Styela clava: one gene and its partners. Each later gene encodes a partner of the first gene's protein in a complex. Links are inferred from orthologs where the notes say so. Each region holds a gene or a part of one and is shown in the gene's direction. Other genes may lie near its edges. The genes, in order: peroxisomal membrane protein PEX14-like, peroxisomal biogenesis factor 19-like and peroxisomal targeting signal 1 receptor-like.

Evidence for each region.
Region 2: the proteins of peroxisomal membrane protein PEX14-like (region 1) and peroxisomal biogenesis factor 19-like are in contact, whole or in part, in an NMR structure (PDB 2W85), measured with the Homo sapiens proteins. The link is inferred for Styela clava from reciprocal best matches to the Homo sapiens genes PEX14 and PEX19. Residues at the interface, in NP_004556.1 of Homo sapiens: Leu28, Thr31, Ala32, Lys34, Phe35, Asn38, Ser39, Arg40, Val41, Ser44, Thr48, Phe52, Lys56, Leu58; in NP_002848.1 of Homo sapiens: Gln67, Phe70, Phe71, Leu74, Phe75, Ser77.
Region 3: the proteins of peroxisomal membrane protein PEX14-like (region 1) and peroxisomal targeting signal 1 receptor-like are in contact, whole or in part, in an NMR structure (PDB 4BXU), measured with the Homo sapiens proteins. The link is inferred for Styela clava from reciprocal best matches to the Homo sapiens genes PEX14 and PEX5. Residues at the interface, in NP_004556.1 of Homo sapiens: Thr31, Phe35, Asn38, Arg40, Val41, Ser44, Pro45, Thr48, Arg49, Phe52, Lys55, Lys56; in NP_001124497.1 of Homo sapiens: Glu59, Leu62, Val63, Glu65, Phe66, Leu67, Gln70.

What each region holds. Positions count from the first base shown.
Region 1 is NC_135256.1:10,700,117-10,707,370, forward strand, and holds the start of peroxisomal membrane protein PEX14-like, read left to right. Parts: upstream 1-4,186; 5' UTR 4,187-4,352; coding exon 4,353-4,506; intron 4,507-4,831; coding exon 4,832-4,939; intron 4,940-5,441; coding exon 5,442-5,527; intron 5,528-5,869; coding exon 5,870-5,980; intron 5,981-6,575; coding exon 6,576-6,668; intron 6,669-6,854; coding exon 6,855-6,946; intron 6,947-7,254. UniProt on the Homo sapiens protein: Component of the PEX13-PEX14 docking complex, a translocon channel that specifically mediates the import of peroxisomal cargo proteins bound to PEX5 receptor.
Region 2 is NC_135254.1:4,399,261-4,407,265, reverse strand, and holds peroxisomal biogenesis factor 19-like, read left to right. Parts: upstream 1-5,002; 5' UTR 5,003-5,020; coding exon 5,021-5,143; intron 5,144-6,184; coding exon 6,185-6,413; intron 6,414-6,930; coding exon 6,931-7,622; 3' UTR 7,623-7,760; downstream 7,761-8,005. Other genes in the region: uncharacterized protein LOC120332696, read left to right, coding at 1,429-1,639; uncharacterized protein LOC120332725, read left to right, coding at 4,175-4,450. UniProt on the Homo sapiens protein: Necessary for early peroxisomal biogenesis. Acts both as a cytosolic chaperone and as an import receptor for peroxisomal membrane proteins (PMPs).
Region 3 is NC_135256.1:14,572,731-14,579,921, forward strand, and holds the start of peroxisomal targeting signal 1 receptor-like, read left to right. Parts: upstream 1-4,157; 5' UTR 4,158-4,217; coding exon 4,218-4,341; intron 4,342-5,009; coding exon 5,010-5,153; intron 5,154-6,101; coding exon 6,102-6,221; intron 6,222-6,599; coding exon 6,600-6,708; intron 6,709-7,061; coding exon 7,062-7,191.

The sequences.
Region 1 (7,254 bases):
ATAGTTTGCACTGGAAAAAGATATGGGAACAATACAGTCTGGCAGTCTGGCATAAAATGCGGGCCACTTTCATAAGCGCTATTGTGTGAAATCTCTGTAGTTCTTCTCTCATCTTCTATGGTCCCTTTGTATCTGGAAAATAATGTATGAAAAGTAGGATGTCCTCAACTCAATGAATCTAATAGAATTCCAATAAATGTCTCTTAAGCTTGGATCTAAATTCGGACGTCGTTTTCGAGCTTTTAATACTATTAGGAAATGGGTTCCATACTGTAGGCCCAACGAATGTGACCGATTCTTGTGCTATTGACGTTCTAACATACGGAACAAAAAATCTGTCGTGACTTCTGCTATTTCGGGTATTATTATTCGCGAATATACGATCAAAGCAACTAGTGAGTTGACCAGTAGAAGATAACACGTCAATGTGCAAATCTCTAGTATTAGTAAATCTTCAACACGTAGTAGTTTTTCACTTTTGAACAAATCCGCAACACCATCTCTCCGGCCCCTATCAAAAGTCATTCTCAAGAACTGATTACAGACACTTTGAATTTTTCCTGTAATACCTTTTTGACGATGCATCCAAATGTTTATACAATATCGTATATGACTTTCTATCAATCATAATTAATAAAAAATATAGGCCCCATAAGTAGGGTTACCATATTTTTGTAACTTTGCCTTTTCCGATTTTACTGCATACGCTTACATTCAAAGATATCCCAGCTGTCTTCATTGACCATATTGTCATCGAGAGTTCATGCGCATATTCTCTGTCCAAATATCCGGTTCAGTTCGAAAAATAGGAAGGAATTGACGTTTAACGATACCTATAATTCAAATTTAGATTTTTTTACCGGTAGCATTTAATAACTGATGTACCCTGGACTACAATTTGGCAATATTTTGGCATTTCATTGGTGAATGAAGCGGTTTAGTCCACCTCTCCATGCACTCAACTTTGGTTGGGCAATTTGGCATTTGACTCCATTTATATTCAGCTTGGCGTAATCTTGTTTTGTCTTTATATTAAATACTGTTCACTCTTGGATTGGAATTTTTTATAAAATTAATAAAATGGTGTAAAAAACAATTCTTATTTTTTATCACAATTCCTATCTTTTATTATAATTTCTTTTTTTCGTATTTATTTATTTCTTTTGTTTACCATATAATTTATCTAATGCTTCTCTCTTTTTTGTAACTTTATTATAGTCCTGTGGTTGTGTGTGAGCGTGTATGAATTGATTCAATAATTTTAGGTGAGTGATCATACACATGAAATTCAAAATTTGAATTTAATAGTAGAATTTTTATTTTGCTTTTCTGTTTTTCATTGTTTTGTTTCTTCTTACTGAATTTCGCTAGCAACTGAAACTGATTGAGACACATAGTACGTAAGCGCGGGAAACAAGCGAGACAACGAGATGACAGGTAGTTGCTGGGCGTCTGGCAGGGCAGCTACCACGGGCTTAAATTTTGCTCACGAAACGATTCGTCGATTCAAAAAACGCAAATTACGCGTTCATCGCCATAATCAAATGAGTGGACCCGATCCCCAAATTTCAGCCAATCTGCTAATGATGGTGAATTAAGACCGGAAATAGTGTTTTATTTTTCGAGTCGGCGCTGATTTAAAGAACGATTAATTACGACCCAATTTGCTTTTAGATTTACGCAATTGCCGAGACCGCACAAACTATTTCGACTAAATTAAAATATACGATATTAATTGTAAAATATTTTCAATCGAAAACGAATTGGACATCCCTGCTTCAAGCTCTGCGTTTAATCAACCTAAAAATTTCTCGCAAACAACACATTTCGGCTTGATATTTACTTTAGTAAAGCCAAGTTTCAAAAATGCGATAAACGTAACAATATGGCAACATCGTCTGGGCAAATATGTGACCTTGAAGGGTCGTATCGCTACCGTGTTCCCCCGAAAATAAGACCTAGCCTGAATTTTAAGAATGATTTTAATATAAGCCTTCCCCTTAAAATAAGACCTTGTCAATAACGCAAATTTGTTTTTTCCTGGTCGATAGCAAGAAATCTCTCCCATACGTTTTAAAATGATTAATCTAAAACGTGTGAAAGAGGAAAACGTGTTATTTAAGTAAATGGATATCGGTTTTCATATTTTTTATATTTAAAAATCTCCTAATTCTGTACTTTATAATTTTGTTTTTGATAAATAAAATTATAAGACATATGCCTCTTCTAAAAATTTTTGCCATGTTTAAAAAGGCTCCGCACCTTTTATTCACAAAACTACGCTATGATTATGTAAAACTACTGCCATTTAAAGATGAAAAATTTCCTGAAAATTTCATATATATTCTATAAATACTACGTCCTAGGCTCGTGCATCTCTACTATAGTATATACTAAGTCTAATTGAATACCATAAAAAGTACAAAATATGACTAGTCCCTGGTGACCAAACTTTTTTGACTGAAATTGTAACAGTTCAACTGGACTTAGTGTTAATGGATTTACCGCGCCCGTACTAGAAATGTACCGATACCACTTTTGTCGCCGATACCGATACCAACTAAAATCGCCGATACCGATACGCCGATATTACAAAAAGGCCGATATTCCGATACTATGTAATTATTACCTTAATTAAGTGTGCTGTGTAGGGCAGACGGGTTAAAACTATTGTCTCTGAGCGTTATTCATAGTACACATTATTTCAGATTGAAAAAGAGATATATATATCACATGAGAAATCGATGTTTGGTATCCAGATGCATTAATTGATTCGGATGCATTGTACACTGACGCTAGTAAACTCGGTGTTCAATTAGAAAACTCATATGCCGGGATGTCCAATTCTAATTTAATATTAATATCGCGAACCTCGAATATCATTTTTCGTGTATAATTGTGATTGTCGCGGCAATAAATTACAGCCAAAATGAAAGAATATCAATCAGCGCCGACTAGAAGTACCTATAATACGTATATATAATACTAGGCGGCCACATCAATAAATCTATAAATAAATTGTGTATTCAAACAAAATTAAAATTAATATAATCACAATATTTGATACCTGTGTAGAGAGATAATTGCGTCGGAATTTAGCTTAACGATGTCGATGGACTGAATGACACTCGCGCTTGACGATAAACAGTCAGAATTTATTACCGCGCCAAAAAGACCCTGTGCTGTAAAAAAGGACTTCGATTCCACTGTATGATTTAAAACTGGGCGCTTAGTTGCTCTCTTCTCTGTGCCGTATTGATATATATATATTCCCCCCATAATTAATATGCATTAAAAATGTCAATATAAAAATTTGGCAGCGAAAATAGCCAAATTAGGATTTACATATTTATCCCGGGGAGAGGAAAGCCGATAAGACGGCTTATCCATATGGCGAACCACGGCCTCTCGTCCGGTTACCATTCCAGGTCGGGTATGAGATTAGGTATATTGTTTGTTTTCGGAAGCATGGACTTGGTGGTGGAGGAAGCCGTAACCGACCAGCGGTTACGTGAACCACCCAACGACGGCGAGGAGTCCAGCAATCCTCTCGCACATAACCATCCCTGCATGGGATTCGAGAGTAATTAGAGGTGCGGTGGCGAGCGTATTCCTAACGCTTAGCCCGTTGAGACACACCGCCGCGCATAGATGATTAGATGAGCTATTTCTGCTAGTAAATATTTAAAAACAGGTGAATTCTATTACCGTTACCACTCGCGGGAGTCGAGACATGCATGGCTCATAGTTCACGATCTCTCCGGGCGAAAAATAAATTAAAAAGTAATATTTTAACATATCTTTTAAAACATTCTGGATCATATCAAAAAGGTGAATATATCGGAAATATCGATATTTGACTGATACCGGAAAAATAGCCGATATTGCCAATACCGATACATGGGTACATCTCTAGCCCATATTTTGTGGTCCCCACACGTGTGCTTACTTTGTATTGTTGCGTCATAATGGTACCTGTTGTTGTTTTTGCAGGTCGTTTTTAACCTGCCTGGTGATGTTACGTAGCGGTACCGAACTAGGTGGACAAATAAGAAGTATGGGCATATACTTTTAGCCTAGTCTAACATATTTTGTTTTTATTAATATATTATTAATATTTTATTATTATATTTTATTAATATTTTATTATCAACAAAGTAAAGAAGTACAGTACAGTATTTGATTTATTCATGCACTTTTGAAGGTCAAAGGTCGAACAATATTTGATCAAAACAAAAACGCCATCATAAATTTTTCATTTCGTTTCGTATCAGAAGTTTGCCGCAACTGCCAGAGTTTGCGCCTGTGCTGTCCAGCGTTTAGTAGTGAGTCTGATTATCCATGTTGGAAAAATGCCCGAAATGAGCTCTTTGCCGGAGAATATACCAGAGTTACCACCGGCACCGCCACGCGAATCTTTAATATCCACAGCTGTAAAATTTCTTCAGAGCACCAAAGTGAGTCAAAGCCCGCTGGAGCAAAAGAAACAGTTTCTTTTAAAGAAAGGTGAGTTAAAAACTAAGGGATGCAGAAATCAATAATTTATTTTAATAATATAATAACTAGGCTAGGCTACATCTTAATTTTTCTGCACAACAGCACAATGGGTGTTGGCAATGTTTTGGAATAATCGCTGGTCAGATCTGTAGGTTGGGGCTTCCTCAACCGTAAAAGTTTGTGCATCTGAAAACAAAATAACTGTGATGTCAGGATATGGTGGCTGTCTTCATGTCTTTTATTATATTGCAATTATTTTTAGGATCAACGTTATCAGGATATGGTGGCTGTCTTCGGGTCTTCTAATACAGTAATATATTTAAATTCTTTTTAGGATTAACGGATAAAGAAATAGAAATTGCAGTCTCAAGATCAAATTCTTCCTCTGATCATCATGTATCAGTGCCGTTGTCAAATTCCGAACAAATCGCTATGCCGCCAGGTTTACAATTTATATATAGAAATTCATAAATACCAGTAAGGTGTCACACACTTGTTGCTGTAATCCAATTATTTGAAATATTTATTTGTTCATATTATTTTTAGACACAGAAAACATTATAACATTCACTCAATGTTTGAATATTTTTTATTTCAAATATAATTTTAGATAGGCCTATCTGAATTCTAAATTCATGTCCAATTCTGTTCCTAAAGATACAGAAAACATTATTCGTCACACATTCTTTTTAATTTTATTGACAGCAATTTCATGTTCTCATAGGTAAAATGTAAATACCTTGCGACATAATCAACCTAGATTGGTAACAGAAGTTTTTAATATTTTTAATCCATCATATTAGTTTTTGTTACCTTTAGATTGTTGATAGTAGTAGATAGTAATTTTTTAGATTTATCATTTTATCTTAATTCCTTCCTAATTATTGAATTATAAATACTTTTTGATTTTGAGATCAATACTTTATATATTGTTTTTCTTTCAGTTTCTGCTTGGACCCGAATTCGGCAATATTCTGCTATCGCAGTCATAGTTGGAGGTGTTGTTTATGGACTATACTATTTGTATAAGGTTGTGAATTTTTCGTATAATTTTCACTTCTACTGTATTGTTGTTTGATTTACTGATTGTATCACATGATTCTTATCGTAATTATAACTCAGTGATTTTCTGGTGTTATTGAGATTTGTAACAGATTTTTATGTTGACTCGATAGCTGAAATACAGCAGAATTACCAGTTTTCCAAGTTCTATTTGTATCTATGTACTGATAAATTGTCATTGACAAAGTTTATAGTCAAGAGAAGAATTAATTATCTTTCCCATCAATCAACATTTTCGAAGTTATATCCATGTCATTTCATATTCAATTTAACTATTTACTAACTTTAATCTTTTCTCTTTCTATTTCAGCGATTTATTGAACCAATTTTCCTGAAATCTGCTAAATTACAAGAAGAAAAACTTGAAAAGATGGAAGAAGGTTTGAAAAATGTTCAGGAGGAATTAACACAAAATATGCAGGTATACCATAAATGCATTCATGGGTGATGTGCAATGGTAGGTTTACCGTATATAAACTTTTTGTTAAATACTTCCATTCTAAAATATTTTATATAAAACTCTTTATTTGTAAAATACTTTATTTTCAAACTCTCAACATCTGCGCCTGGGTTCTTGGATGTATTATTATCGTACCCTTCAAAAATTCCCTTGGTTTAAATGATACTTCAGTGTTTCTCGAAACGAAACAAAAATATCGACTGAGGGAAAGCTGTAGAGAAAATCCATTTGTTTCAGACCTCGTTTGTCATGGAGTACTGTAAATAAAGTAAATTCCTCCTAACATTAATCCGATGGATAAACGTTGTTGTGGTTTTAATTATTTGTTGTTTGAAATCATTTCTATCATTTTATTGTGGTTTTACATCCTAAAATCATATTGTATACAATCAGTGCATCATTTTCTAACCCCGACACGAACAAAAATCTACTTCATCTGTTAACATTTAAATGCCTTTACCTTTCTGTGTATTTGAAACTTCAAAAAACCATTGTGATAATTCATAGAAATTGTGCTTTTTGCTGATTTGTGGAATAAGAAAAATTTTTTATTTAGGAAATCCGAAGTTCTATGAATGAAATGCAAGATCATCTTGGAACTCAAAATGCAAAACTTGGTCAAGTGGCTGCAAATTTAACATCTTTCAGAGTTAGTACTAACTAGTATATTTCTTATTTGTATACACTTGAAGTAGTAAAAACTATAGAATGAAACTATGGAATTTGGAGATAAATTTTTTTCTTTAAAGAATATGACATGGTATTGTAACAGATATGTACAAGAGTGGATTTTATTTGACACTTCAATTTACTTAGGCATATTTAAATTATCTAGCAGGCTGAATCGGGATATGGAACTGTATCTAATTCAGCAATCGGAGAATTAAAAGCAGAAATAACGTCGATCAAAGGATTACTTTTGAGCAGGTAAATGTCAATTTTTTGTGACTCGGAGTGCTCATAGTTCCTATGTTGGTGAAAAGTTTGAAAATTAAAAAAAATCAAAAATGATTTTTCTCAGTAATGCATTGTCAAAAGACCTAAACAAGTTGTATAATTGAACAAGTTACAGCATGATGGAAACGCAGTTTAGCAATTTAAAATAAATTTGGGGAAAGATTGTAGCAATGTATCACGGCGGTTACATTTTTGTATGTGAAGCCAAAGAGAAACTTTAGAAGAAACGTTCCATATAATAATATTTAAAAAACGTTCACAGCATTAATCTTTTTAAT
Region 2 (8,005 bases), on another chromosome or scaffold:
TATGCCTCAACCTACTTCATGCACACTTATAGGAAGCCTTGTTTTCTTGCTACATGTTTTTGCCAAGACCTGCTATGAGCATGACGCCTTCCCACTCACTGTCTGTGATATGATTTGTCAAAATGTTCAAGTAATTTCGTATACTGTCTTGCATTGCATGTATCATAATAATTTATGAATTAGGCTTCATAGTCTATTGATTATGGTGTCCTGCTCATGTATCTTATTCAACGTATATATCTTAATGCAGTAATAATAACAAGCATTATTTTAATAACAAATTCTTCTTTGAAGTTCAAAAATGAGCCATAACTCAAAAAAAATCAAGATAAATGGCAATTTCATTTTTTGTTGCATACTAAGGATAGAACATTTCGAAAATACCTTGAAATTTATTTTGAAAAAATCTCATTTTTAAATAAACTCTATAGTGAAATTCTGAAATTCAAAATTTTTGACTATTAGGTACCTATTTTATAACAGTGATTTGAAAGGTTGAATACTACAACATATTTTATATTATTCCTGGAAAATGGATACTGCATGGATTTTAGAACTTCATAATGTGAAATTAATTTTCACTTTCGTAATTAATAATCCTGGCCCTCACCTTTAATATGCATGAATCATTGTTTTTTAATTGTAAAGGGTTTCTTTTATTCTCTTTTCTCATCTCTGAATAACCTGTTTTTAATAGATGTTGGACCAACCATCTAATAAGAATCTTACGAAAAAGCCTAAAAAATGTCTAAAATTCATCTGTTATGAAGTCATGCCATTCAAATCTGCTTTGTCATTCGGTATAGTTTTAAAAGCATCAATTAGAGGAACCCTCATCAATCTTTATCTTCGAATTATAGAGTCCAAATTGAACCTAGAAAACTAGACAATAAATACATTTGCTTCTTTGCTCTAAACAAGGATTTAGATAAGCAACCTTCTGAAGCTGAATCTTTCCATTTATCATATCAAAGCTCACCTTATTTCTCCCACTATGGGTTACACGGGGCTAAAACCTGGGGTAGTTGATCTTTCTGCTATCAATAAGGTCTCAATTTAAATCAGTGGTTCTCGAACTTTTTAAGCCGCGCTCCTTTTTTAGAATTTGTCAAGTCTTGCGCCCCACCTGAAAAATACTAGCTAACGATAAGCTTCAAATATCAGATAGTAAGGCGATAGTATGTTTTATTCAAAAACACGTTGAAAATATGGATGAAACACAAATAACCAAAATAAAAGAATCTAAATATCCAAAATAAGGCGAGCAAGATCAAATCTAACCTATTTATATTTCCAATTAACTTACGTCCCCTCAAAAAATTGTGGCCCATCGTTTGAGAACAACTGATTTAAATCATCCCAGTTCTTCAACATGAAAATTTTTTTATTAAATAAATTTAAACTAATAATATTATTTTTATTTTTTAGGCTCACTGAAGCAGACGTGATGACTAAAGACATCTTCAAATTTCACAAAACCCAAGTTACAATTTCAGTTTATAACGACCAATTTAGAATCCGTCCCACAATCAATATATATAATAGTGAAAATGATTTGATGCAGCTAAAAAATGCTGTGGTAACATATTTGAATGAAAATTATGCCGATTATATTGAATATAAATTGCCTTGTAATTAGAAAGGTGTAATGTTATAACAGGGTATATCATTTTAACTGGGGACCTGTTAGTTCCAAATATACCCAATTTTGGTGCTTGAAATTTATGGTGAAAATTATTGTTTGCGTATTTGCCTTTAATTGTTTTTTGTATAGCAGCCGCTTGAATCTGAGATGATTAAAAGATTTTTCAAAGTGGTGGTTAAATGAAATTTAGAATTTCACTGTTTTTTTTAACTAATAAAATTAACTCTTGTGCTGTTTCATATATGGTTTAACTGTTTAATATATTAATTTATAAAGTCCGAGCTAAACTTCAATATTTAGGAATAATAATTTCTTCCCCAGAGTAAACTCTTTACTCTACATTGGTTGACAGCCCTTTGATATTTGTTGAGTAGTGCCTATGTATATTTTACTTTTGATCAAGTGCCTTTTAAGACTTTGTGATTATAACTTGAATCAGACTTTTGCATGTATTGTGATTTCTGTGAGCCAGGGTTGGTGTCCATAAAGTCTTGTCACAATTTCCATTTCGTTATGAAGTCATTTCTTGATATATGTCAACCATTTTATTAACACTCGCAACCTTTGTCGGCATCGCCAATATAAGGCTGACAAATCAAACCCTGTTACGAAAATTCTTTTTCGTTATATCAATGATTTCTGTAAGTGTAAAAAATATATGAAAACCTGTAACTGCATTTTCATAATGGACTGAAATTTCACCCAATATTCACTATGCATATTCAAATACTGTCTTCTCCCGTGTGGAAATGAGCAAATCTACGAGATTTTTTAATAAAGACAAACTTAGTTGTAGCATATTCCTTTTTTCATTTCAAACTATCCCATTTCTGCATAAATTGCACTAAATATAATACAGCTATCACCAATTTGCCTCATTACATTTATTCTATTAATTATACCCACAGTGTATCATATATAGTCGATTATTAATAAATATTGTTACTGAGTATATATTTCTATGGTTTTAATTATGTTAATGCAATTGCTTTTGTGCAGTGAAAGAACAAATCAATTCTATTTCATATTCTGATAATACAAAAATATGCATGTGCAATTATTAATAGCAGGTGAAAATTAAATTAAAAATGCTATGCTAATATGCTTCATGGTCTGTTGATTTTGGGCTTTTTAATGGGGATGCCGAAACAAATAAGGTAGATAAAAGGGAATTTTTATATTTATCTTCAAAAGAGGTATAAAATCTTTCAAACATCAGCTTCCCATATGGTTAACAGTCCCAACCATATCTTGCACTGCTGTAGTTCACCATTACCTTTTTCACATGCATTGACTCGATGGTTGCAGTTTGTGAACAAATCTACAAAGGTGAAGTAATAGGCAGCACTGTGGATCAGGATTTGAATCCATGAACTCTTGTAGTCAGAGGTGTGATGGTAATTTACCTCTCACCCTTAAGAGGGACTGATATGATAAGAAGGGGTATTTCAACCCATTATTAGTATTGGTTTACCTCCTTGTCATTTTCCGTCACCTGAAAGATTGGAACAAGAAAAAGCATTTAGATCAATGAAAAATTATTTCCAGCATAAATGTATGTAAAATGAACTTCGTCTCGTAAATATTGTGCTTGCAAGTAGCACTTTCTGCAAGACATACAAGCGCATATCGTTTCAGAATTGCACTGTCACATTTGGGCTCCCAAATATAGTTGAAGTAGGTATAGGTAAATAGACGGTGTGGCTAAGCGCTCGGAATTCAACCGCACTTCTGATTACCCTGTGTGGGGATAAAGGATTGCTGGGCTTCTCGCTGCCGTAGGTTGTTCACATAAGGGTGGTTTTCACCGAACCACTGGTTGGTTACGCCTTCCTCGACCACCAAGTCCATGCATCCGAAACAAATAACTGACTAACTAATCCCATACCCGACATGGAATTGTAACCGGACGAGTGGCCGTGGTTCGTCACATGATTAAGCCGTTAAGTCGTCTCATTCCTTTCCTCCCACCCTGGATATATATATATATATGCAAATTCAATTTTAGTCGTGGTCGTTATAATAAGGAAACAGAAAAATGTATGTATGTATGTTTATTTGCCTCAAAAATGTAACAGTGTCTGCATAATAATTAAACAGTAAAACAGAGACGGGATAGATACATGTTCAAGACCTTACTGGTCTAAGATACAGTTGTGCGACATGTACCCCTAGAATGTGCCCCCGAAGTGTGCAATCTTCAAAATCTATAGATTTCAAACCAGACATGAATTTATTTGGTACCCTACAATTTAAAAAAAAATGCATAACTTTGCAAATCTCAGGCTCAACAGAATTAATTGCGAGTATAAATATATATTATGGAGACATTTTCATGCAGGTTCCGGATTTCATCCGGAGCCACTCCTGCACAATACCAACGCTCGATCGGATATTTCACCTCATTGCAAAACATTACTCGCTACGCGATTTACTCACCTGCAATCTGTTATATTTTGTCGTTATTGCTGCATTATTTCAAAATATTGATTACTTCTACGTGTTTAAAGTGAAGAAAAAACGTTTAAAATGGATTTTGATGCAAACGCTTTGCAGGATGTCACGGAACAGCTGAAAAATAATCCAGATCTTGCAAGAATGCTGATAGAAGAACAACAGAAAATGGAAGCGCAAAACCAATTGAAGGTCATCGTCAATAAACTGACATCAGACTGTTGGAATATATGTGTTGATAGAGTTGGAAACAGCCTTGGAAGACAAGAAACATGTCTCACAAACTGTGCTGAAAGGTTTTTAGAATCTGACCAGTTTATAAGGCAGAGAATGAGCTCTCAAAAACAGTAATCATTTTTGAAAAACCTAATTACATTTCAACCTTTTAGGAAATTGAAAGTCAGGATAAAAGCCTTTTTGCTACTTGAAATTATATCCTCCTGAGATCATTAATTGTTGTCTGAATCCAAAATGTTTAAATATGAGTGTATTTTCCGTATGTTCTGCGATACTTATGTCAGGTTTGGTCAGCTTCATTCAGACTTTGACACGATTTGGAACCACCAAGGCGTGACTGATCAGAATATTCTTGCCTGAAAATAAATGTGTCAGTGCTGCTATTTTTCGCTTTTTGACTCCCAGGTTATTTTGAGGTCAAATTGTGTTAATTTAACTAAGCCATTATTGTCTTTTGAAAAATAGCGTCTCCTATAGTGTACAGTCTGACAGTGTACCACACTTGGAGACTAGACCCCATTTTATAATTCCTCATGGCCATGTAATTTTGTTGTCATTTCCAATCTGTGTTACCAACGATCCGATCATTGTTACAAAATGTACTTTCTGAGTTTGAATCAGTTCTAAATTATTTTCCTGTAATTTTCTTTTTGTGTCTTTTTAGTCAAAAATAATTAAATAATAATGGATGCGGATTTAGATGATTTGCTGAACGATGCTTTGTCTGACTTTGATAAAAAGCCAACAGAAGTAAAAGTACCTGTAGAAGGAAGTGAAGAGAAAAAAAATTCACCAGGTTCTTCGAAGGTAAAATGCTGATAGAATGAATTTGGAGAACCATTTTTTTATGCACAGTTTTCTTTGCACCTCTTTTGTATGGCACCTTTTACTCCAAACATGGCCAGGGATGATGCGAGGCGCAGTTCTTACCACTCCATGGCAGCTCCTGCCACAAACGAACCGCGGCAGCTCTTGCCATGGTTTTATAGCGCTATTCAGTATTCAGTTATAACGGTATATTCACAAATTGATATACCCAATTTTAATTGATCATGCGAAATTATATCTACTCAAACCCTAACCCTAACCCCAAATCCATCAAAACTATCCATAAGAAAAACGTTCCAACTTACCCAATATTTATCACCATAAGGGACAGCCCTGTCTTTACGGCCCACCTGCTGATGATGGCCGCTACGGCCAAACCCATGGCGACTAACTTTCTAGCTGCCACAAACCAATGACAGGCTGCCATTGCCGCGGCAGCAAATTGAAAACCAATGGCAGGTAAAATTTTGCTGCCGTAACCACGGCAGGTGGGCCGTGAAGGCAGGGCAGTTCCTTATGGTGACAAATATTGGGTAAGTTGGAATGTTTTTCTTATGGATACAGTTTGGATGGATTTGGGGTTGGGGTAGTAGTAGATATAATTCCGCATGATCAATTAAATCTGGTACATTAATTTGTGAATATACCGTTAATACTGAATAGCGCTATAAAGCCATGGCAAGAGCTGCCGCAGTTCGTTCGTGGCAGGAGTTGCCATGAAGTGGTAAGAACTGCACCTCCAACCGGTACTGAGCTGCTATTTCTCTAAAGGCTTTAAAACAAGCATTCTGTGACATGCAAAAGGCACAATGACTTTTGAAAAAACCAGAATACTATCTGTTTGGAAATTTATAAAACCCTCTGGTTGTATTGATGGATATGGAGGTTGAATTTAAGATCCAAAGATGCGACGAGTAGCGATTTTTCTTTTGAATCGGCTTCTTTTATAATAAGGACCTTTATTAGTTTCCTCAAAGTAAAACTGTAGAAATGTCTGTAAAACAATATTTTTATATTCAGTCTTTAGAACCTCCAAAAGATGTTCCTGCCAGTTCACCCTCGTCTTCAACCTCTCAGAATGTGAGCGTGCCCCCTCCATCAGAAATATTTGATCAATTTTTTGACAATGAAGTTTCTCAAAGACTTCAACAAGAGTGGGAATCCGCAATGAAAGAATTAGTTAATGATGACCCAGAACTTGCGTCACAGTTGAAGAATCTTCCAAGTACTATGGAAAATGCTGCGTCAGGTATGATATGAACAAATGATATATATCAGTATCAGTTCTCCAATTTCAAGATGCCCTGACATTTAGTTCAATAAACACCATTTGATGACACCATTAGCACATAGTTTGGTTCAGTGTGCTTTATCCGCTTCAGTGTCTTTTGTTCGCTGCCTCTCCTAGATATGGCAAAAAACTGATATGGGTTTGGAACCTATCGATTCTATATAAATAAGCTGCTATCCCATTATACATAGGTTCAACTTGGGGACATTATGCTACAACACACTGGGGGAGGCCCCCAATTATGCCTCAGGAAATTGGCTCTCTGGGCAAGATAGCCAAGATATTTAAATTGAGTCTAATGAAGGAAATTTGTCTTTATACACCAATAAGAGGCGACAATGGTGTTTTAATCCAAGATTTCAATCTGCGATGCTAACATACTGGTAGTTAGGTACAGCGCTCTAGGCATCATAGGGCCTTTTTTACTACCCTGTTCAAATCTAATGTTTATTTTGTCTTTTGTTATATTTTTTAGGGGGTGCCGTGCCTTCTGCAATGAGTTCTTCAAGCAATACCGGGCCATCTGGAAGCAGCGCAGGTCAACGACAAGCTAGCCCTGCAGATTTGAACAAAGTGATGGAAGACACAATTTCTGGAATTGGGAGTAGCGCTGATGAACTAAAGAATATGACAGGTGCTACCGAAGAGGAAAAACTGCTCCAAGAAATGAGAAATTTAGGGATGGGGGGAGGGTTGAGTGACATGATGGGTCAAATGGGGGACATGGAAGGGATGGAGAATAATTTTATCTCTATGATGGAAAACATGATGGAGAATTTATTGTCTAAAGACGTTTTGTATCCCACAATGAAACAAATTTCGGAGGTATACCCTGGCTGGTTAGAGTCTAACAAGGATAAAGTACCTGAAACAGACTTCAAGCGCTATGAGCAGCAAAGTCTTGTTATCGTTAAAATTTGTAAAAATTTCGAGGCCGATAATGAAAATGACACCAAAGAAGTGAAAAAGCAAAGGCTGAACGAACTTATGGCTTTGGTAGAAAAAATGCAAGAATGTGGCAACCCTCCCCAGGAATTATTAGAAAAATGTGGTGGGGAGACACCCATGGACATGAGCAGAATATTTGGGGCTGGAGGAGGGGGATTCCCAGGTGGCGGGAACATGTTTGGGCCAGATATGAATCCTGAAAATTGTGCAATTATGTGATTAATTTTCTAATTATTTTTAAATATTTTCAATTGATTATTTATTGATAATTATTAATGTGTTTCAATTTGCTTCATTTAAATTTCATTTCATTAACACTGATATAATTTTTTAAACAAGATGATTGTCAACTATAAGTGTGTTGCCAGATTTATTTTTCAAATTTGTATCGCTGGTTTGAGTTGAAATGGGATTGAAGCCTTGTTTGACGGTGTCGACACCCACCTAAAAAGATCATGGGACTAAAAAGTTGTTTGGGAAAAAAGAAGACTCCCATTCTGATGACTCAGTAAAAAAAGTTAGCGGGATGATGGTTTTATTCAGTTTGAATACCACTATAATGCTAGAAATGATGCCGATCTCCACAGTTCTGAAAGGTTTTA
Region 3 (7,191 bases), about 3.9 Mb from region 1:
TAAGTATACGATCTATTTAAATTCGCGCATAATAGAAACTTAGGCTATTTAGTGGAAAACTGAACTTGCAGTTTGGTGGAAATTACGCCACACATCATCTCGAGTGATGCGTAGAAGAGTGTGTTGTGCCGAATTTGAAACAAATGAGTCAATCACGAAAAATTCATTTTCATTCATTTCCGTCCCGTAATTTGATGTTATTTGGAGTGCCGCATAAACGCATTCGGCAGTTTTAACGCCGCCGAAAACAACGATTAACAAATGTTGAATGTATTTCTTTTGGTCCCGTAATTTGGTGTTATTTGGAGTGCGCATGCACGCATTCGGCAGATTTAAAGCCGCCGAAAACAACGATTTATTAAAAAACGGTCAATGTTTTGTTTTTTTCGGTTAATCGCTCTCTTTTTCCGAATCGCGTAAATCTGATTCGAATCGATTCGGAAAAGATGCGATTCGAATCGATTCGTAAATCCTATTAACGGCACATATACTTTTGGCACGGGTATAAATTCTGATTGTTTGTCGTCAAGTACGCGTGTCATTTAGTCCATCGACATCGATAAACTAAATTCCGACACAATTATTAGGTATTAATTTAATTTTGTTTAACTACACAATTACTTTATAGATATATTGACGTGACCGCCTATCCCTCTAGAATGTCTCAAAATATATGATAGCAATTGTAGAATATTATAAAATAGTAAAGTAAAAAAACATCCTCGACGGTTATAGGTAGGCCTTCTTTTTGTCGGTGCTGATCGATATTCTTTCATGTTGGCTTTGACTTATTGCGTCGACGATTACGATTAGCCACGAAGGAAAATATTTGTAAAATGCTTTTAATTTGAACGTAGGACGGCGGCGCTAGAATGTGTGGGTGATATTCGATATTCTTTTAAACACGAACAACAATATTCGAAGCTCGCGATATTGACATTAAATTCAAATTGGACGACCCGGCTTATGAGTTTTCTAATTGAACACCGAGATTACTAGCGTTACTGTACATTGTACAGTGTATCTTAATCAGTTAAAGCAAACACCAAACATTAATCGGTATCGGTACATCTCTAAATATAACTGGAATAAAATTATGCCCTAACCCAAACCTGGTACACATTCTACGTTCCGGTGTCCGCCATCTTGGTGCACATACTACGGAGCGCCTTTATTTCATCGTTTTTGTTAGGGTTACATGTAGCTCACGGTGGAATGATGAAAATCAGCCAGGGGCGCAGTCAGGATTTTAAAAAGGGTGTGTTTCAAAACCGAAAATTTCCATTCCCTTATGAAACAGTCGCCGCGATTACGCTCTCATTGAAAAGGCCGAGTTTTTCAGCGTATACCAACATTCTCTCCAGTAAAATATTCATTTCATGATAGCTACGAGAATCTAAAACTTTCTTCTATATTGATATAATCTTGTGTCCAACGTAACTCGCGGTTACGTCTTCTTGCGTCAAAATATAAACATTATTAGTCTGAAATACCACTCAATCTTTTGATGTAAAAATATGAGATAAACATGCCTAATGGCTAATTGTATTTAGTTTCGATTGATTGTATAATAACTCTCAGCGAATTTCAATTCTGGGCAAAAATAAAGTAATTATTATCGTTGTCGTGAAATAATTGTTGTGATTCAGGGAGAATAAACACCAACTAAAAGTGTTTACGGCCTAAATAACACGTCACGCTGATAAAAACAATCAGGAATTTTAGCGAAAAGCAATCGCACGCGCTATTTGTGACTTTTTCAGTTTTCCATGAATTTGAAAGGAGGGGGGAATTATAAAATCGCGAGTGGAAGGACTTTCTATTAATATTTGAAAATTGCAAAATTTAACCCTTTTTCGCTTTACGTAATTTTTATGAAAAGGGGTATCTTCAACAGGGAAGTACTCCCTTTTCTAAGTTTGAGTAGTTTTAGATTCAATGTGGGTGATAAACTTCATATATTCTACTTTGAAATGAAATTATAAAATCGCGTGCCTCTTGAGCGGAAGATATTTCTATTAATATTTGAAAATTGCAAAATCAAACACTTTTTCGCTTTACGTAATTTTGATGAAAAGGGGTATCTTCAACAAGGGAGTACTCCCTTTTCTAAGTTCGAGTAGTTTTAGGTTCAATGTGTGTGATAAACCCTATATATTCCACTTTAATATGAAATTATAAAATCGCGTGCCTCTTGAGCGGAACATATTTCTATTAATAATTGAAAATTGCAAAATTTACCTATTTTTATGTTTCACGTAATTTTGATGAATAGGGGTATCTTCAACAAGGAAGTTCTTCCTTTTCTAAGTTGGAGTAGTTTTAAGTTCAATGTGTGTGATAAACCTTATATATTTTACTTTGATATGAAATTATAAAATCGCGTGCCTCTTGAGCGGAAGATAATTCTATTAATATTTGAAAATTGCAAAATTTAACCCGTTTTCGCTTTACGTATTTTTGGTGAAAAGGGGTATCTTCAACAGGGGAGTACACCCTTTTCTATGTTCGAGTAGTTTTAGGTTCAATGTGTGTGATAAACGTCATATACTGTACTTTGATATGAAATTATAAAATCGCGTGCCTCTTGAGCGGAAGATATTTCTATTAATATTTGAAAATTGCAAAATTTAACCCTTTTTCGCTTTACGTAATTTTGATGAAAAGTGGTATCTTCAACAGGGGAGTACTCCTTTTTCTGGGTTCGAGTAGTTTTAGGTTCAATGTGTGTGATAAACTTCATATATTCTGCTTCGATATGAATTTATAAAATCGCGTGCCTCTTGAGCGGAAAGACTTTCTATTAATATTTGAAAATTGCAAAATTTAACCCTTTTTCGCTTTACGTAATTTTGATGAATTGAGGTATCTTCAACAGGGAAGTACTCCCTTTTCTAAGTTCGAGTAGTTTTAGGTTCAATATGTGTGATAAACTTCATATATTCCACTTTGATAAGAAATTATAAAATTGGGTGCCACTTGAGCGGAAGGACTTTCTATTAAGAACATATTTGGACACAATTTATCCCATGTCTGATCTCGAATCTATGCGAGACGCTCTATTAAAAGCGCAGAATAATTTCTTATGAAATTTTCATAACATCGACTGCGTTTTTCACAGCACTAATATTGTTATTAAAATCACCGATTGTTCAAAATCGGAAATTCCCATGCAACGGCTTCTAAAACGTTCGCCGAGATTGTGTGTTCGTTAAAACGGCTGACGTATTCAGCGTACAATGACTCTTATGTGGCGTGAAATATTTAATCCGCGACAACTACAGGAATTTGAAAAGTCCTTCTATATTAATTTAATTGTGTTCAGTGTAACTCGTTGTTGCGTCGATAGAGTCTACTGTAATATACTACTGTGGACATAATAATGTGAGATAAATTGCGTCAACAAAATGAAAGCGTTATTTCTCAAATTAACACGGTAATCCGCGGACATAAAAATGTGTGGTAAAGTGCCTGATAATATCGTGTTGTATGTAATTTGTATTTTCGCAAATTTGATAAATCTGAGCTGTTCTTGTAATATTGACACGGCTCTATCGCATTTCTTTCGGTTGTAATGCTTTTAAGACAACCGTTAGACAAATCCCTGCGACAGCAATAAAATTTCATTGAGTTAAATTTAGTTCAAAAAGTTGATGGAAGATACTTTACACATTAATTATTTTATATAAAAAGTTACGCTAGTTTCCCGCCGGTATTTTTACAATGAATAAAAAGTGCCTCGCTCGCACAATTGACAAAAAATAAATAAACAATATGTAATTTTAATCTTTCTTCATGAAACAAGACATTTGTCTTCCGCTATTTGTCATTACGGCTAAATAACACGTCACGCTACCGAAAATAATCGGCTATTTTAATAACAACATTAGCGCTGTGAAAATCGTCAATTGTGCGTTTTCACGGCGATTGTTGGTCTCGGATGGTTGGTCTTGATGTTTCTTCCATATCTATAATCGAGAGCAATTCCATAATCGAGAGCAATTCTGCCGTGTGGAATTTAGAAATCGCCTACGTTTTACTCCATCACCCTTCAAAAAGCACAAAGCTGTAATATCACTCTTCAATGAGCACAAAAACGAGACTTAACGCACCGCTGCGCACAATTCGAAGAAGGTTTGCTACTAGCTTCACAGTGGTCATTCATCGCAGTTCGAGTTTCTGAGTTGGCTCGCTGCGGAAGGCTTTTCCGAAGTAAAATGTCTGCGATTAAGGAACTGGTGGCAGGTGAATGTGGAGGGGCTAATCCTTTGATGAAAATAACTCAGCACGTTAACCAGGATTTATCGTTTCAGCATCGAGGACTGACTAACAGAGTAAATGGTAAGGGTCCTTGGTTTATTCATCCGTCTGTCAATTCTGCAATTGGTCAATCATTCTGTAGAGTGCAGGTTAGATTTATGCACCGTTGGGTGATCACATTCCTGCATTCAGATACTGTATTATAATTACCATACCAAAAGTCTGAAATCCCTTTTATCACCAGTAGCGATAACATCTACTAACATTAATATATGGTTCAACAATCAATCGTTTATAAGTATGTAGAAAACTGATACACAACAACCTGACAACATCATTTGGTGATATATTGATGATACAATCAATAATACAGGGTGTGACTTTATACGCTGATATGAGTGAATATGTATTTTCATACATAACAACTCCCATAACAATGCTCTAGACAAGCATTCTTGATACATCATGCAACAGTGACCATGCTGTTCTATGCTGAGAATGATGGTCATCCCGGATCCTCTACCCAATTTTCATACATTTTATATATGAATGAGATGTTGAAAATTGAGGCAGATTTCGTCAACTTGTTATGTCAACAATGGTTCAACAGTTTTACCATTAGGTCATGAAGTGTTTAAACAGCTGATGATAGTTCTTTATATCTTCACCCTAATAATCGTTTGAAGATTGTCTAGTTCAATAATATCAAAAATTTTTCTAACATTGTAATATTTGATGTGTTTTTTCAGGCCATGGAGCTCATCAACCTCTCGCGGAACAATATGCAAATGAGTTTCTTCAAGATCATCAAATGGTGGTCAAACATCCACAGACATTCGATATGGGACGACTGTTACATGAAGCACGTTTACTGGATTCCAGACCACCACAACGTAAAACATTTTACTCTGCCTTATACTATTGTGTGAAGTTTACTCATCTATTTATTGTACATATCGTCGATGTGCCGTACCTCTTTGTCCTGTGTATTGTACAAGAGTTTTAATTGTATATTCCATGTCTGTTGTCCTACTATAACGCAGCAGTCCTAAACTGCAGTTATACTTGTTGGGGTTCATGTCGCACATCTGTGTTTTTGGCCAGTAAGGTCTTGAACATGTATCCCGTCTTTGTTATACCGTTTAATTATTATGCATATACTGTTATATTTTTGAGACAAATAAACATACATACATACATACTATGTGCCAAGCTTTGGTTGAGCAATTATTACTTATCGATCTTAAGATCGGTAAGTATATTGATAGGTATTTGTCTGTATGTATGTATGTCTGTCTGTGTGTCTGTTAGATGCACGCGATATCTCACGAAAGCGAGATTGAATCTGCTCCAGATTTTGCATGTGCATTCATCTTATCTCGGACCAGATTCTAATTGATTTTGGGCGAATTATGTCGTATAATTAGCGAGTTATCAATCAATTATTGATTAAGTGATCTAGATTTTTGTAAAGCGAGAGAATTTTGAGACCCGCCGAGTGTGTGTGTGCGATGCGCAGTGCGCAAGTTACACGAGCGGATGAATCGAAACTGCAGTTTCTGTTTTGGGGGATCCCCTAACTATCGATCGATAAGTATTCGGTTTCCAACCGATATTCTCGTTGGTGTTTTTTATTGAAACCTACATACTCAGGTCTTGTTCACATTTTATTGAGTCAATGGGTATTGCTTGTGATTTGAAAATTATTGCATTGATGGATATGTAATGTTGTGCAGAGTTTTTGCTGTAAATGACTTTGTGATTAATGATTTGTCTAGATATAGCTTGAATTAGCTCATGGTATTTTTAAATCAAATAATAGCACGCTATTCAATCAACAGAAATTCAAATCTCAGTTACTGCACAACATTGGGAAAAAGATTTTCAAAGTTTTAGGCCTGCTCCATTTCGAGAAACTGGACGTGAAGAAGCTCTGTGGGCTGAAGAATTTTTGCGACATGGTGAATATAAATTTAAGTTATATGTTATTGTTTATCAGACATTTTCTTGTTGTTTGCTTCAATTTTCCTTATATTTTAGTAGGGTTAGATGTCTTGTGCTTTTCATTGTTTATGATGTGTTATTTCAAAAACATGAAGTCATATCATTAAGAACTTTAGAGAATTTAAATATTACCAGAGTCTGTGCCAGGATATTAGGAATAGAGTGTATATTTATAACTCAGTGGCTTAACAAGCTGAACAAAATTCTTTGTTCAATTGCTGACTTCATGTGATTTGTATTTGGTCGAAAATTCTGAACACATGTTGAACTTATCACATTATTCCCTGTTCATTGGTATGTTTCTCATAATTTTTGTCCATTTATCAACTTTTCAGAACAACATCAAGAAATACCTTTTTATAATAATTTGAATGGACCTAATATGATGGGTTATGAACCTGCCAGAATACGAGAAATAGATGATGTTACAAGTACTGAAGACTGGTGAGATATTATCTTATGATTGACTTAGATCTGACATGTATTATGCCTTGTGGTCCCTCACGGAGGCTTTTAGCACTGATAGCCATCCCCCTGTTTATCATTTTGCCCCTGACATGGTGGTCCCTCTCCAACTGCTCTGCGGCCCCATGGTAGGCCACGGGCCCCCGATTGAGAACCACTGTTTTATGTCCATGCATGAACTTTTAGGTACTGGTATGTATAATATTACCAGATAATGTTTGTTCCGTTCGAAATTCTTTTTTCATTCCAAACTGAATCCTAAAGTGATTTTTAGTTGGTATATATGACTTTTATCATAGTCTAATATCTTTCAACTGATGATGTTTTTCCAGGTCAAAGGAATTTGGCAGTGAAGTTCAAGAAAAGACAGAATTACAGAAAGCGGCAGATGAAATGGTCGAATCATTCTCGAAAGACAATAAAATATCAAATACCGAATTTTTTGATTTTGTTTCAAGTCTT